Struthio camelus: one gene and its partner. The protein of the gene in region 2 purifies or fractionates together with the protein of the main gene of each other region. This does not show direct contact. Links are inferred from orthologs where the notes say so. Each region holds a gene or a part of one and is shown on either strand. Other genes may lie near its edges.

Evidence for each region. The genes of interacting proteins can lie anywhere in the genome.
Region 1: the proteins of CASP8 (region 2) and tumor necrosis factor receptor superfamily member 10A-like purify together in Homo sapiens (affinity purification with western blotting; 14 studies listed by BioGRID and IntAct, counting the BioPlex papers as one, with this or other methods). This does not show direct contact. The link is inferred for Struthio camelus from reciprocal best matches to the Homo sapiens genes CASP8 and TNFRSF10B.

The regions. Positions count from the first base shown.
Region 1 is NC_090968.1:5,190,201-5,197,748, reverse strand, and holds the start of tumor necrosis factor receptor superfamily member 10A-like, read right to left. Parts: upstream 3,524-7,548; 5' UTR 31-3,523; coding exon 1-30. UniProt on the Homo sapiens protein: Receptor for the cytotoxic ligand TNFSF10/TRAIL. The adapter molecule FADD recruits caspase-8 to the activated receptor.
Region 2 is NC_090947.1:10,351,352-10,358,899, forward strand, and holds the start of CASP8 (caspase-8), read right to left. Parts: upstream 5,238-7,548; 5' UTR 5,112-5,237; exon of another isoform or gene 4,901-5,111; intron 4,770-4,900; exon of another isoform or gene 304-4,769; 5' UTR 142-303; intron 1-141. Other genes in the region: caspase-8-like, read right to left, coding at 5,743-5,893, 6,772-7,261. UniProt on the Homo sapiens protein: Thiol protease that plays a key role in programmed cell death by acting as a molecular switch for apoptosis, necroptosis and pyroptosis, and is required to prevent tissue damage during embryonic development and adulthood.

The DNA.
Region 1 (7,548 bases), on a different chromosome or scaffold from region 2:
GTGCCAGCATGGGAAAGGACCACTCAGCATCACACCCAGCACTTTTCAGCACTGGGCACAAGTTAGCACTGTGTCAGGAGGCCAAATGGACACAAACCAGCCTCTGTCCCTTTGCAAAGCCAGGTAGAAGGACAGAAGCCTGAGCCGAGAGGGGCAGTCCCCTCCCATGCCATGCATGGGGCAGCACAGCAGCGACTGTGTGGCAATAGCCATTTCCCTTTCTAGTTCTATACTCCAAGCCAGCCCGAAACCTGCCTCCTGAAACAAATATTTCTTCTATGAGTCAGAAGCTGCCTCGAAAGAACGGTGGAGACAATAGAAGCACAAGCAGTACACTGTCTGAGTCAGCCGCACCACCTCCCGAGCCACATCCCCTCCTCCTCCGGCAGCCAGCGCGCTGCGAGGAAGGGTGTGAGCGCAAAGCCAGCCGCAGCAGGCTTGAGGGTCTCAGCACAGCACCCACAAAAAAAAGGTTCCTCAGACCAGCCTGCCCACAAGCCACGATTCCCCTCCATTACCTCCAGGAGCACTGGCCAGAGATGGTCCCTCTCGCCCCGCATGCCGCAACATGGGGAGCCAGAGAGGCACAAACCCCCCAGCCATGGCCAGCCTGGGCATATGGCCATCTCCAGACCCTGGCTTGGAGTAATCCAACTCAGAGCCCTGCAACGGTTCCTCCACCTCCTTCAGACTGCATTAGTGTTACCCGAGCTTTAGATAACACAGTTCATCGGGAACTTGAACTTCCCACCTCCCCTGGGGTGTCACAGCTGCTTAAAGAGCTCTGGGTAGCTACACGGTTAAAGGCAGGAAGCAAGAAGAGGAAGCTGGACCTCAGCGCAGGACTGGGATCCTAGAGCTGGCACGCTGCTAATCCAGACAGCGCAGAAAAAAAGCAAAGAAACTCAGGCCTCATGCAGACAAATATCCCAACCGTAAGAAAGAGCACGAACACAACTACCAGCTCTATAGCATTTGGGGTTTTGCAAAGTACAGGTGCAGATCTCCTGCTGGCTGCCTCCCAGAGTTTATTATAAAGTTATTATAAACTCCTTTTGCATCCAACTTAGGAGACAACTCAGCTTTTACCTTCCAGTCACAAGTTGTTTTACCCTCTGCAGTTCTCAGGGCTTTACCCATTCTGGCCTTGAAAGCCCCCGAGAACAGAGACTGCACAACCTCCCTGGGCAACCTGTCCCACTGCCTGACTGCCCTCATGGGCAAGAAAGTTTTCCTGCCAAGCCGTGAAGGCAACCACAGCAACAACATCTGTTGTTTCAGAGGGCCCCTCAGGCACAGGATTTCAGTGCTCTCCCTGAGCTTGCACAAGTGCATGATAAGGTTATCAGCCCACACCACCTTCAAGAGCAAATGCAGTTCAAGTACATCGTCCTGACAGAGCCCTTTGCAGGTAGGAATCTAACCTATCAGTTTTGCAAAGCACTGAGATAAGCCAGCCTAGGAGCCACAGGCAAAAGGTGGCCTCAGTTTTACAGTCCAGGAAACGGGCAAAAAGGGGTTCAGAGAGTCGCTGCATGCCCATAGCAGAGCCTGGACCCTTCTGCTCCAAGCGTGTGTCCTATGATGCTTTCCGCCAGCTCTTACCCTTGCCTGCTCCAAAATACTGATAACCAGAGGCCAGACACCACCACAACATACCTTGGCCCTGGAGAAACCCAGTCCAACACCCACTGCAAGGTGCTAACAGGACACTTGCAACCAGCACTAACTTCACCCTAGGATTATGATAACCTCTAGACCTGGCCCTCCCTGCTGGCAAGTCACTGTGGCAATCCAGGGGCAAACCTCCATCTTCCTTGGGCCGGGTGGCCTCACCTTCAGCCTTTAATTGCACAGCTAACTTGCCAGGAGACGGAGGAACTCACCAAAAAACAGCAAAACAATCCAAAAAAATCTTTAACTTAAAAACAGAGGGAAGGACCCTGCCTAGATCACAGAAGAGGTTTTAAAAAAAAGCCTAGGGAGAAAGAAATACAGCCACACTTCAGCTTGTCCCAGCATCAGAAGACTTGCCTGATCAATTCCAGCACAGGCAGCTATTTTATCACTGCAAAAGCCAGTTTTAAAGCAAGTTGCATAGGGAGGTCAAGTTCAACGCAAGCAATGGTATTCAAGAGTACTTTTCACCCGTAGCAAACATCCAAAGAAAGTAATGCTGCCCCAAAGCTGAAGAATGATCAGTCATAGTAATTTCCAATATCCTCATCGACCATGAATTTAAACCCCTCTTTCTATTCGGTCTGGATGATCAGACCTGGAGAAGACTTTTTGGGAAGTGCCGATCTTTGAACCTTCTCTCCTCTACCACCGATTTCTGGTTTCCTCCTGAAGTGATCCCAAGGAAGGAATCAAACCATTATGGCAGCAGATAGCCCACAAACTGAACTCCTGACCACCACAAAGCATCTAGACAGTATTAATAACCATGTCAACCCTTGATGTAGGGAGTGAGGCTCTTAATCCCAGAGCACCAACAGTGTTAAGGAACAAGGAGTGAGAGAGAGACTTCACAGACAACTGACACGCCTCTGCTCCAAGGGAATAAGTTTGCTGAACTTGGGGTTTCCCTGCAGACCTTATGTGGATGGAATTCGAGCTCCCGCAAATACAGAAATTCGGAGGATTTCTTCTTCACGAGCCTGTGGCCCGTGTCCAGGCATGATGCAACAAGCCATGGTGTGCAGAGGAAGCAACTTGCAGCCATAATATCGTATGATTATCACGTGGGCCAACATCAGTCCTGATCAGTTCTCCCTCCCTTTTTATTTTTATTTTTTATAAAAGAAAACAAGTCCAGTAAGAGCAGGCCTGTAGGTGATGGGGTCGGTAAGGCTATTGCCTATACAGGCAAGTCTAAGCAAAGAGCAGGGAGACTCAAGAAGGGATCACCTAACCTGTGCAACTCACAGAAACAGCACGGGAAGGGACCGGAGAAGATGAGGCACTTAAAAACCTGTTACAGGCAGCGCCGATTTCAGCGGCAGCAATTCCAGCAGGCAAACAGCAACCACGCGTCCCAGAGCCGCTCCTGCGCCACGGCAGGAATCGGGGCCAGTCCCGGGATCCTCGGGACAGGGTTCCCACTGACTGCAGGCGACACGAGACTTTGGGCACCTCTCCGAGCTATAGCCACCTCCAACCCAAGAAATACAGTATGGGCGGGTGGGAGTTTCTATCCTAAAAGTCACCAACGCTAAGGAGTCAGACTGCCGTTGGGGAAGTCTAAAATCACATATCCCCACACGAGACGGCACAGAAGGGCCCGCAGCAGAGCCCGGACACTTCCGAACGTCCCGCTGCGTTCACGTGGCGCGAACGTCCGCACGGACTCGGTGTCGCCGCAAGATCCCGACCCGGAACGGCAAACAATGCCGTTGGAAGCGAGGAAGTGGAAATCCCCTCCAGTCCTCCGGCCGCCCCACGCGCGGGCGCACGTGCCCATTCCCCGCGCCCCGGCGGGCTGGGAACGCGCTCCCGCCTCCGCCCTGCCCCACGTGTCCCTGCTCCCCTACGAGCCTCCTGCGGAGCCCCCTGCAGCCCCCCCCCAAGCTCTCCAGGGGAGCCCCCATAGCCCCTGGGCCAGGGAAACCCCCATGCCTTTCCCATAGCCCACACACCAGGGGAGCCCCCTCCTCATAGAGGTGAGCCCCCCATGGCCCCTGCTCCCCATAACCCCCAGGAGCCTCCCCATAGCCTCTTGGAGCCTCCCCCCCATACAGGTGAGCCCCCCCCACAGCCCCTAGGAGCCCCCCATAACCCCCTAGGAGCCTCCTCCCCCCATACAGGTGAGCCCCCCATAACCCCCTAGGAGCCTCCCCCTCAAACAGGTGAGCCCCCCCCACAGCCCCTGGGAGCCTCCCCCCGTACAGGTGAGCCCCCCCATAACCCCCCGGGAGCCTCCCCCCGTACAGGTGAGCCCCCCCATAACCCCCCGGGAGCCTCCCCCCGTACAGGTGAGCCCCCCCATAACCCCCCAAGAGTCCCCCACACGGCCCCTGGGAGCCCCCCCCATACAGGTGAGCCCCCCCCAGCCCCTGCCCCCCCGTACAGGTGAGCCCCCCCCGCTGCCCCCGGGAGCCCCCTCCCTTAGCCCCTACGACCCCCCCTCCGCCCACTGCTCCCCCTCCAGCCCCTACGACCCCCCTCCGCCCGCTGCCCCCCCCCAGCCACCCTCTGCGCCCCCCCCCAGTAACTCCCGTGAAGGGGGAGCCGCCAACCCCTTGCCGGGCCCCGACGGCGCAGCAAGCCCGGACATGCCGCGGCGGCGCCCGGCGCCCCCCCCCCCCCCCGGACCCCACACACCGGCGGCGGCAGCAGCAGGAGGAGGAAGAGGAGGAGGCGGAGGAGGCGGCAGCGCCGTCGGGGCGCGCCGCGCATCGTGCGCGGGAGCGGGGCCGGCTCCGGGTCGGGGCGGCTCGGCTGAGCTCCGGGTCGGCTCCGGGTCGCCCCCGGTGCGCTCACTCTCCCGCAACGCGGCCGGCGGCCGGCTTAAATACGCGATGTGGGCCGGGCCGGGAGGAGGAGGAGGAGGAGGAAGGGGGCCGGCCGGCTGGCTGGCCCGTGCTGCCCCCCCCTCCATCCCGCGCACGCTTGGCCCCGCCGCCGCCGCCGCCGCCGCTCGGAAGCCGCACGGAGGTTTCAGCACGGCTTTTGTTAACAGCTTCACTGGCCGGGCCGAAAACTGAACCCGCCCGGCTTGCCGCGGAACTTTCATTTTTTAGCGCTTTCGTGTTGGTGGGTGGATGGGTGGGGGGGGGGGGTGTGTCGGGGAAAATAGTTACGGCTGGTTTTCAAGCCTCCAGATCAGACAAGCGCCCTCACGAATGCTTCTGCGAGGGGCTTTTCATTGACACCTTTTGCTTTCTCAGCTTGTTCCCCCCCCCCATCATAGCAGCGTCTAAACCTCAAGTGAGCAAGAATATATGTTTTACGGGGAAAATGGAGTTACATAAATATCCCCTCCTGCTTCCAAGAAATCCCAGCGAGGAGCACGGAGTTTACAGGAAGACGCAAAAGGCTCCTGGAGGGGCCGGTGGCCGGGCACGAGGTGCAAAGCCGCCCTGTGGGCTGTGGTGCGGCTCAGCAAAAACCCTCACCCCTCCTTCAAAACCCCTCCTCCCTAACTTTTGCCTCTGAGCTGGAAAGTGGGGAAATTCCACGCGGTTTTCTGCAGGCTTGAGCCCAAAGAAAAAAAAAATAAGAAAGGAAAACCTTTGGACTTTGTGCCATTACACCGCTAGCCCTTCTGCAGTGAGCTCATTTGGATAGCGAGTGGGACAAACTACTCCACCGAAACAAAGCCGAGATGGAGAGATGGAGGAGCTGTGACCTGTTAATCTTTTCCTAGACTCCGTACCAGACTTGAACTTAGGGCTCGGTTTGTGTTAGCTGCATTCAATAGCCCAGGGCTTTGGAAAATGCTCCCTCCCTGAGAAATGCTGTTACAGCCCTAGCCGGGATGCATGTGGGGATGTGACTCACCGGAGGCTGGGCATGTAGTTGCCCCAGCAGTAACTCTTGAGTGACTGATCCTTTTTCAAGTCCAGGCCCAGGAAGAGCAACTGTGGGTGAGAGCCTGCAACTGGGTGACAAGGCTCAGAGGAGGTTGGCCGCTCCGCAGGAAAAGCTGCTCTTCATGGAAGTGGCTCAGTGCACTGAAAATTTGGATGAAAACAGGGCTGCTGACCAGTTCAGTGGCATCTTCAGCATCTCCAGAGCTTTGCAGGGAGGCAGCCTGCAAGGAAGGCTCCTTGGATCCAAGCAGACCAGCAGTGTCCACGCTCGGGCCACGGATATTTGGGAAGCATCTCCCCTTTGGGCACTGAACTCTTGAGAGAGTGAGCGTTTCTGCAACCAGCTGTGCCATGCCATGGAAACCTAGTTTTCTCCTTGCAGAAGTTAGGGCCTGTCTACACAGAAAATAATTAAGCTGAAGTATGATTTAAAGTAGATCAGGAATTCCTGGTTGTTTCCTGGGTGGGTAGTTATATGACAGGCCCCAAAAGTATGCAGGGCCTTTTGTTTAACCAAAACCATGTGTTCTGTGTTCTAGATACCACTGACTTCAGCTCAAGTGATTCAGGGCCTTAGAGAACAACTCATTTTTCAGTTAGGTCAGAATAAATGCTATTTAACAGCCTTACTGCATTTGCAACTTCAGATGGCCATGCCTGGCCTTTGTGCGATACGGCACCCTGGCTGTATCCAGCGGGACTGTGAAGGACCCTGTCTGTCTACTCTCCAAAAAAACCAACCTGACGCCATTTATGGGACTTGCCATTTATGGGGCATTTATGGGATCGCATAAATCCATATGGGCAGGAGGCTGCACATGGGGCAAGGGGATGCAGAAGTGAGAACATATTTTAGAACTGCTGCTTCCCAGTTTGCCCAATAATGTACACTGTGCCCTCAGGTGCACCTCAGCAGGGTGAGAACAACCTTCAGCACCGAGACCCCAAGGCCTAATCCCGTTCTGCCAAACACTTGTTGCGAAGCTGCAGTTCTTTGTCCATCTGTCTCACTCTCTCTGTTTATACAATTGGACTAATGGAGTTATCTGTGCTGACAAACCACAGCTTTTCCACAGCTCTGAGCAAAGACGGCTTTCTGCTGTGCCGTGGGTATTTAAGCTAATGAGCGAGTTGAGTGATGTGAGCCTTCTCCCACTCCCCAGCCCCATCCCAGCCAGATGCTGCAGCGCCGGGTGGGACTCCCAGGGCCGGTAACGTCATTCACCCGCCAAGCAAGAATTTCCACTGCTTGGCTGCAGCCATGCACAGAGCTGGCACGCAGAGCATTTCCATTTAAGGCCCATTTGCAGACGAGGCACCGGTCTCAGGCGGGAGAGGGGTGTTTTTATCACTCACAGACAGGCCCCCTGTCACTCCCCCAGGCCTTATCGCCGCAGGCCTCCCCGTCTCCGCAGCTCCGTCTGAAGCAGGAACCGTTCAGAAGCCGGGGAGATTGCACCACAAGAGCAGCGGCGGGCGTAAACGAAGTGCATGGAGAAGCCGGGGGGGACCCACCGCAGTTTTGTGATGCCGAGTTTCGCCCTGCTTCCGCAGCTCTATTGCAAGTGGAACATAAAATGAGTCCAAGAGTTTGAGCAGAGCCTTGGCTCTCCTCCCGGCTCCTGTCCCCCCGCCCCGTGGCCAGGAGCAGGGACACTTGACACCAAAGTGGGAAATGCCCACGCTGGACAATTATGCAATAAACAGCCCTGAGGGGAAGTCTACTCCTATCTGCCACAGTTAGCGGTTAACCTCACGCGAGCTAGCTAACGCTGTGGTGCTCAAGGGTTCACACCCTCCACGTATTTTCATCCTAATGATGCATCTCTTTGCTCATGGGCTTCTTGTTTATGTCCATCCTTAAAAGAGACTGTGTGGAGGTGAAGGTGACTCTAATCTCTCCTTCCAGAGCATCTTTCTTTTAACTGGGATCTGTGGCACATCTCTGTGGGGGTGATGGGGTACGTGTCTATACATTACTTTTTGAATGTCAGCATTAAGCTTTTCCTCCAGA
Region 2 (7,548 bases):
AGCAAAACCAACCCCTCTAGCTTTCTAAGGTAACACTGTGTGTCTGCCACAGCTGACTTCTCTCAGACGTGTTTTAGGCCCTCTCAGTTTGCAGTTATGAAGCACCAACTGTTCAAAAAAACTTAAGTAGAAAATTCTTACTGTAAAATTCATACAACAACGTGAAGAACGGAGTGCTGTGGGTGTCGCTGATGCAATCAGAGCAAATCGCCTCCGGCGCTGATCTTGAGGGAGTCCGCTTCCTCTGCGCAAAAACAGCTGTGTCATCACAGGCCACTTACCAAGCGCTTTCTTCCGTTTGGCCTAGGAAGACACATTTTTTTCAAAACTCTTATCCAACTACCATGAAATAATATTACACGCCACTTTGCTGTAGAAAAAAAGCCCACACTGGATAGATGCTTTTTTTAAATGAAGGGATTTCTCACACAGCTTCAAAAATAAGCGTGCTACTGGCAGAAGAAGTGATACTTAAGTTCCAGGGTCGATTTCATACCACATGCAAAACATGACATGCTGCAGTCTTTTTAACATAAACGCTGCACCCTGCTTTTTTTGAACTCTTGTATTTTTGTTTCATGAAATTCACACAGCCTTTCACTGAAATCAGTAAGCGGAAACTAACGGGGGAGGCAAATGAAAGACTTCTAACTCTATTTTCAAATAGTTAATAAAAAGTATGTGCTGAGACCATTTCAAAATTAATTGCCCGTGTGGCATTTTAAGGTTTGAGCAGACAAAATAAGATACCATCTTACTAGTTATCGCCAATCTTTATCTCCAATCAAAACTTTTTTTTAAATAAAAGCTTTTCTCAGCCACTTCATTATTTTCACATGCATCCCAAGGGTATCTTCGACAGGGGAAAAAAGAAAATAGTTCTAAGCCCACTTTTGAGAAAACAGCTTACTTCTGTAGGTACAGAGTTGTTGTTCTGTCTTGGCTTTTGCTACAATTGCCTCTCTTTAGTCTAGAGACACTAACAATCCATTCCCATTTTAATACAAAACAGAAAAACACGTCAGAAAGTTATTTACTTGACTTCCTCATTGTGAGCAGTTTGCAGGTTGTTGACAGGAAATGCTGCACACTTAAGCCAGATGTTCAATCCTGTACCCTGACAGGCACTGACTGTTGTGTCAGCTCCCTTCCCAACCCTCAAGATCCGTTAAAGAACCTTTTAGCAACAGGAGCAGCTCACAGGAACGCAGGGCAATGGTGTGAGCCCCTGGGATAGTGCTACACCTCTGTTACACCTTCTGATCCAATAGAGGATCCATGGTATTTCACCACAATACGAGGGAGGAGATCTTACCCAGAAGGAGTTTCAGCCTTCTGAAACGGAACATCAACACATTAGCACTCACTATGAGCAGGAGAGCCACTCTGAGACTATCCATACTCCCCAAATAAAGAAACAAAGTGTGCTCACTGAATGCTGTACTGGATTTAAAAACAGACTCCTTTCCCCAAAACACAGAGTCTGCTATGTCTGCTATAGCAATATATAAGGGAGAAATATTTCTGTTGTTATCCTAGAGGTTGGCTTATTAATGTTCAAAACCCTACACAAGATATTTGATTACTGTACGCATGGCATATTGGGTCAAAAGTGGAAGTAATCTGAAAATGACAAGACACCCTTTAAACAGCCCAGGAGCTAACCTGCCCCAAGTCATGTAGTTAAAACAAGCTTTTTCTAGTAAACAGTCTGAAGGAGGTATGGATCCGATATACCTGTATAAATCAGGCCTGAGCATGAAGCAGTTACACAAACGTAAGACTAGTGTAAAAGACACAAGCCAAGCTCAGAAGAAACATACAGAAGAACTTTCCACTAGTTAGAAGGTATTACATTTTGCACCCACAAGAGCCAGTCACCTCAGGGGCCTGGGGAATTTCCATGGCTGTCAATAATAGAATAGATACAGTGATAAGTAAAGGTACAGTTACAGAAGGAAAACACAGAAATGAGTATGTGGGAATTCCCAAAGATCTAAACCATAGTTTTTTAACGCATTGCACAGAAGTCATTTCAGACTAAACATGCTGTTCTCCGTTCATAATTTGATATATCTCTTTCTCTAGCTAGAAAGAGGTAGAGCTGAATAATTTTTTGATAGCGTGTCACCACGTTAGTTACCTCAAAAACAAACAAACAAAAAGGCCATCAGCAAGGGCTGAACACTGACAATCAGGACAATCTAGCTCGCTGCTGCACAGCTGGATCTCCTAAACCGGGGGCATTTTGTTTCAACGCCCTCTCTGGGCTTCGAGATTCCCTGCAGGAGATGTTACAGACCACAGACATAACAACTATTTTAATCAAAATTCTTCAGTAGCTGAACTTTTCACCGATTTGAGAGTGAACCCTTATACAGGCAGTGGGAACCAGTGGGAAAACATGTATTTCAGCAGCCAGTGCCATGGGAGAAAGCAGGCAGCATCCACAACACAAGCAGGCTCCTCACACATGCCAGGAATCCATCCTGCCAGTGGGTGATGAACGACAGGTCACGAAAGACCTTTTCAGTGGAGAGAATGACAAACTCACCAGGGAAGGCGGGCACAAACAGCTCTCAGGGATTAAACTGAACAAATACGTAACAAGATGCAAATGACAGGGCAGGGATTCACATCACCCAGTAACACTGTTTCTGCCTTTGCAGACAGTGATCCTCCCCAACTCTTCTCTCCTTTTCAAACAGCATCACTTTGATCTTGTCTGATTTCAGCTTAAGCCTGTAGGTCTTCAACTCACTGGCCTCACTTTCCTACCAACTTTCTGACTCCACTTTCTAGTGATGATACTTCTGCTGGCTGCAAACAAACACAGACTTGAGTGCCAGCATTGTTTTACTATAGCATTTGGCCTGCCCGCCAGGAGTCAAAGAAAACAGAAGACAGGTGAATAACTGTAGCTGAGGACCTTTGCAGAGGAGAGGAAATGGCTGCTCACTATTCTCCAAGCTCTGCTATCAGAAAAGGTAGAGAAAGAGGAAAAACAGAGCCCGAAAACTGTAGAGCCAAACAGTCCTAGGGGGCTTGCCTCAGTCCTACAGGGAGGGCCACAAGTATGTGCAAAGACTTATCAGCCAATCTCCCATAGGAGTCTGTGAATCATACTTTGCTCAAGACCACAGAATTGAGAGTGCGTTTTCTCCCTGATCACTGCACGAGCCACAGTGGGCATACAAATTCCTAGTATGGCTGCTTCCTGCAACGGCTTGCAACTATGATTCTTTTCGTAACTTATTCTTGATGGAATATTTCAATATGCATGAGGCAAAGGGGACGAAAACAGATCGTGTCAGTGCCAGAGTTCAAGGCCTGTAAGAACCAAAGCTCCTAATTCTCGTTGCTGTGCCTGGACATGGACAGAACAGCCGAATCCAACAGTGTGTCCAAGAACAGACTACAGGCATTCTTCTCTGCCACCAGTCCTTGTCTGTATGGCCACAATCACTTTCTTTTCTCATTATCCTCCCAATACATTAGCTCCTAACACATTTCCCCCTTCTTCCACCCCCACCTCACTTTCCTTGACCTTTCTCTGGTCTTAGAAAAACACTGCAATACAGTCAGTAGCACAAACCAATGTTAAAAAAAACTGATAAGGAAAACACTTAAGTTTTCATTGCAAGTATGCCTTTTGTACAAGCTAGAGATGCCTTCTGAGACATTAATGAAATTAACTGCAAATATTAACCTGGGTGCTTTCAGAGATAAGCCCTTTTACTTCTTTGCTCATTTGGACTTGCTTGATTTGCTTACCTGTTCATAGTAACTCATAAGCCTGACTATGAGGCAACAGTTCATTGGTACAAGAGAACTACTGCTTTAGAGGATTTTCACTGGCTTTTTTCTCTTTTAGTGGCTCTTCATGAGCAGGCAATAACACTGGCTGTGGAGATGAGTGGTCACAGCTTAATAGGTAGAACAAAACACCATGCAAGGCTGATGATGGGGGAAGTAATATGAAGAAAAAGAAATACTGCAGATGCACAAGTTCACCAATGACATTTTCTCAATCTTAGCCGTCATCTTCTAGTAAGTTTCTCCCAGAGGATGCAGTTACCCTGTTTAAGCTTCATTTCTGTACCATAAAACATTCACAAATCTAACTACTAACTTCATAGCAGGGCCTCATTTATGAAAACACTATAAGAAGGTAAATAAATTGATGCTAGATGTTTCATTAAATGGTTTACCAAATGTCAACCACAAAACTGCACCGTAACTAACAACACTTTCAGCAAATATTTGCCACAAACACCACACTCATTTACATAGTGGTTGTAACTTCTATTTACTATGTATGAAACCTGTATGAACAAAGCTGTAATTCTAGGAATGGACATTCTCCCTTTTACTTGGGAGGTGAAAAAGATTAAGCGGAGCAAAATGCAACTGCCGACACGTTGCCTGGAATTAAGGGGGGGGAAAAAAAAAGTCTCACACCAAGAACACAAGCATGATCGAGTGAAGAACCCCTGTATTATAGCTTAGACGTGATCTCCGAGAAATTTAATCTAAAACAAGCAGAAGTTAGGAAATGTCTCAGATCCATCCTTTACCTTGTTGTAAAGCTCAAAAAGGATGCAGCCTTTAGAATCCCACACAGCTCCCCTAAGCCACTACTCATTGCTGAAAGATGCAAGAAAAAAAATGAGCTTTACTCGCAGCAGCTGATACAACCATGAAAGTCCTGAATTTTAGCTCACTCTTCTCTACCATTTCTCCATTTGCTAAAGAAGGGATATCAATCTGCCACCTCCCAGGGTGACTGCCATAGAACACTTCAATGAGAGCAAAGATAACTTTTCCAGAAGAAGCAAGGTGTTTGTCATGCTGAACATGCCTCAGTCAACTCATCCGAGAAATACCACAGTGACAAGGGTGACAGAGAAACCAGGCGTATTTATTACAAAAAGCCCATGGCACCTAGAGTCAGTTGCCAGGAGGGGAAGCCATCTCAGAACTGTGGTTCTAAAGGAGTGAGACCTTCCTTCCACATGTCTGACAGTTATTCAATACAGACTGCCCTTAAGCGCGCCAAGAAAAAAAAAAACAAACCACAATCAGAACCCATATTATCAAAAAAAACTTACAAATCTCAGTGCTTTTTAACTGAGTTAATTAATAACAGGAAGCAAATAAAACTTTGGAGGGAAAGAATCAGAGAAGTGCAGACTTGTATCATGATTGTTGTCATCACCACCTCTTTTTGGTCCTTCTTGGCAGAGACATTATTTTTTGTGAAGAATACAGCTTCCAGATAGCCCATGATTCACTGCTGATGTATCTGTTAAAACCTTACTTGGACTCCCTGGGAAGCGATCCTTGCACTCTGCATCTAATTGCTGTTTTCTTCAGATTTCAAGGATGTATTCTCTTAACAACACAGACTGAAAATAGTATTTCCACTGACATTTCCAACAACGCTTAAGAATCATACTGCTCGGAAATGCTTCCTCACTCGAAACAAGGACTGAACAGACTACACTGCTTCTGCAGGACAGGAAAGCAGGTCCGTACTTCTCCCCTGCTCTACTAGGCTGCTACAAACTCAGGTGCCAGGAGACTGAATAAGCATGGGAATCAGAAAATTGAGGCCACGCGGCCCCTTGCAGGATTGTGAACTAACTACATAGATGCAGATAATTCCTCTTGCAAATTCTCTTGAATTCCATGAGGAGACGCCTTCCAGAGTGATTCCTAATTGACCGTGTCCTTATTTTTCTAATTTTCAGTTGACTGGGACTGTGGAATTTGGAAGATCAACTGCTTCCTTAGGGTTGATGATATCTTTGGCATCTGCTTCCATCCATTTAGTACTGCTCTTCCCACTTCCTTGTTCACTTCTGTCAGGATGGTTACCAGGTCCTTGCGCCTTGAACAAACATGAAGAAAAGGTACATTGAAATACATGGTACTTTCAACTAGGCCAAGAAGTTGACCTATGTTTACTCCAATAACATGAGATCTTGGGGAATGTTGGTATCTTCCCGTCATCCTGTCTGTCACTGAAATTGCGCGCTCTGTTGTGTAATCACAGCATTCAGTATGTACTGGGGAATAAAGTAACCTCTGTGTAGAATCACTTTACAAACAAACACACTCCTTTACCTTGGTTATGGTCAAAAGACAGCACTAAGATGACACAGAAGCAAATTTATGCATTTTCCAAGCCGTCCGCTGGACTTCACGAGAAAGCGGTGCCTGGAGAGAAATGTTATTTTCTAAATCAAGTTTAGGGTTGGGAGGTGGACATGGGCGAGGAAACAGGGAAAAGTACGAATAAAGGGTACTAATTTTTTGCCTGTGTACTCAAGCAACAAATTTGCCTGTCATCAGGTGTCACTGGAAGAAAGATCCCTTGTCATTTTAAAGATACATTAAAACAACATGTTCACACTTGTTTTTATGTATTAAACACTTGTTTACACACTTGTTTTACATGCTTTTTATGTTTTACACACTTGATGATGTGTGTTCAAATATATAAACACAAACTTGCTTATATGTAATGTTCCAACATTACAATTCTGGTTCCGTAACAGACAAACTAGGTAAGTCACTTGAACTTTGCTTCATCTGTAGAAGAAAAATAACAGTGCCCACTTCCGGAATAATTACTAAGCAGACACTGCTCTGCAGGTGAAAAGCATTATATAGAGCAAATGCAAAACAGCCATGTTTCAGCACAGCATGCTTAAGTATGTATTTCAACAATACCCCAGTTGTACCTGGGTTAAAAACAGTACTTACAGTGGGCAAAGCAACTCCATTTTGTCACAGAGGCACTGAATGTAAATACTGCCTGTCTTTGCGTGGCGGTAGCACTCAAAGTCTTCCACAGTAGCCATGCCAACCAGAATATCAGCCTGGTCGGGAATGGAAACCAGAGGAACAGCGTCTGTCTCAAGATGGTCAGAAAAGTCTTCTTTTAATGTGACAGCTGGATGACCTACAGACCCTTGGCAAGCCTGGATGAAAAACAGCTTGGGTTTTCCAGCAAGAGAAGGACAGTTAGATCCACTAAAGCAAGAGAGCAAATCTTTAATATTTACAAACTCCCCATCAACGCCTTTTATTTTGTCTTTTTCACCATGTGAAAGGACGAAGCAAACAAAACAGTCCATTTTGCTATGATCTTTCTTGCTGTATTCTTTAACTTTTGCATACATTTGGTTTGCTTCTAGATCCATGTACTCAACTGTCTCAAATTGAAGCCACTTAAAGACTCTCTTCAGCGCCTCTGTAAAAAGAAAGTTGGAAGGCACTTGTTAAACATGAACAGTGATAAGGAAGATGAGGAAACTGAAGGCTCTGTGTGGTAGGATAGATACTGGCAGAAGCATTCAGATCCCACCAATAAACTCACCTGACTGACACTCAGCCTGCCAAGTTTTAAGAAAAATCAGGGATGCCTAATTTTTTTTTTTTTTTTTAAACACAACAGAGGTGAACATCACACTGTCTAAAACAAAAGTGGATTTCAGATTATCTGATTAATCAGTACAATTTAGTGAAGCTTAGTGTGTT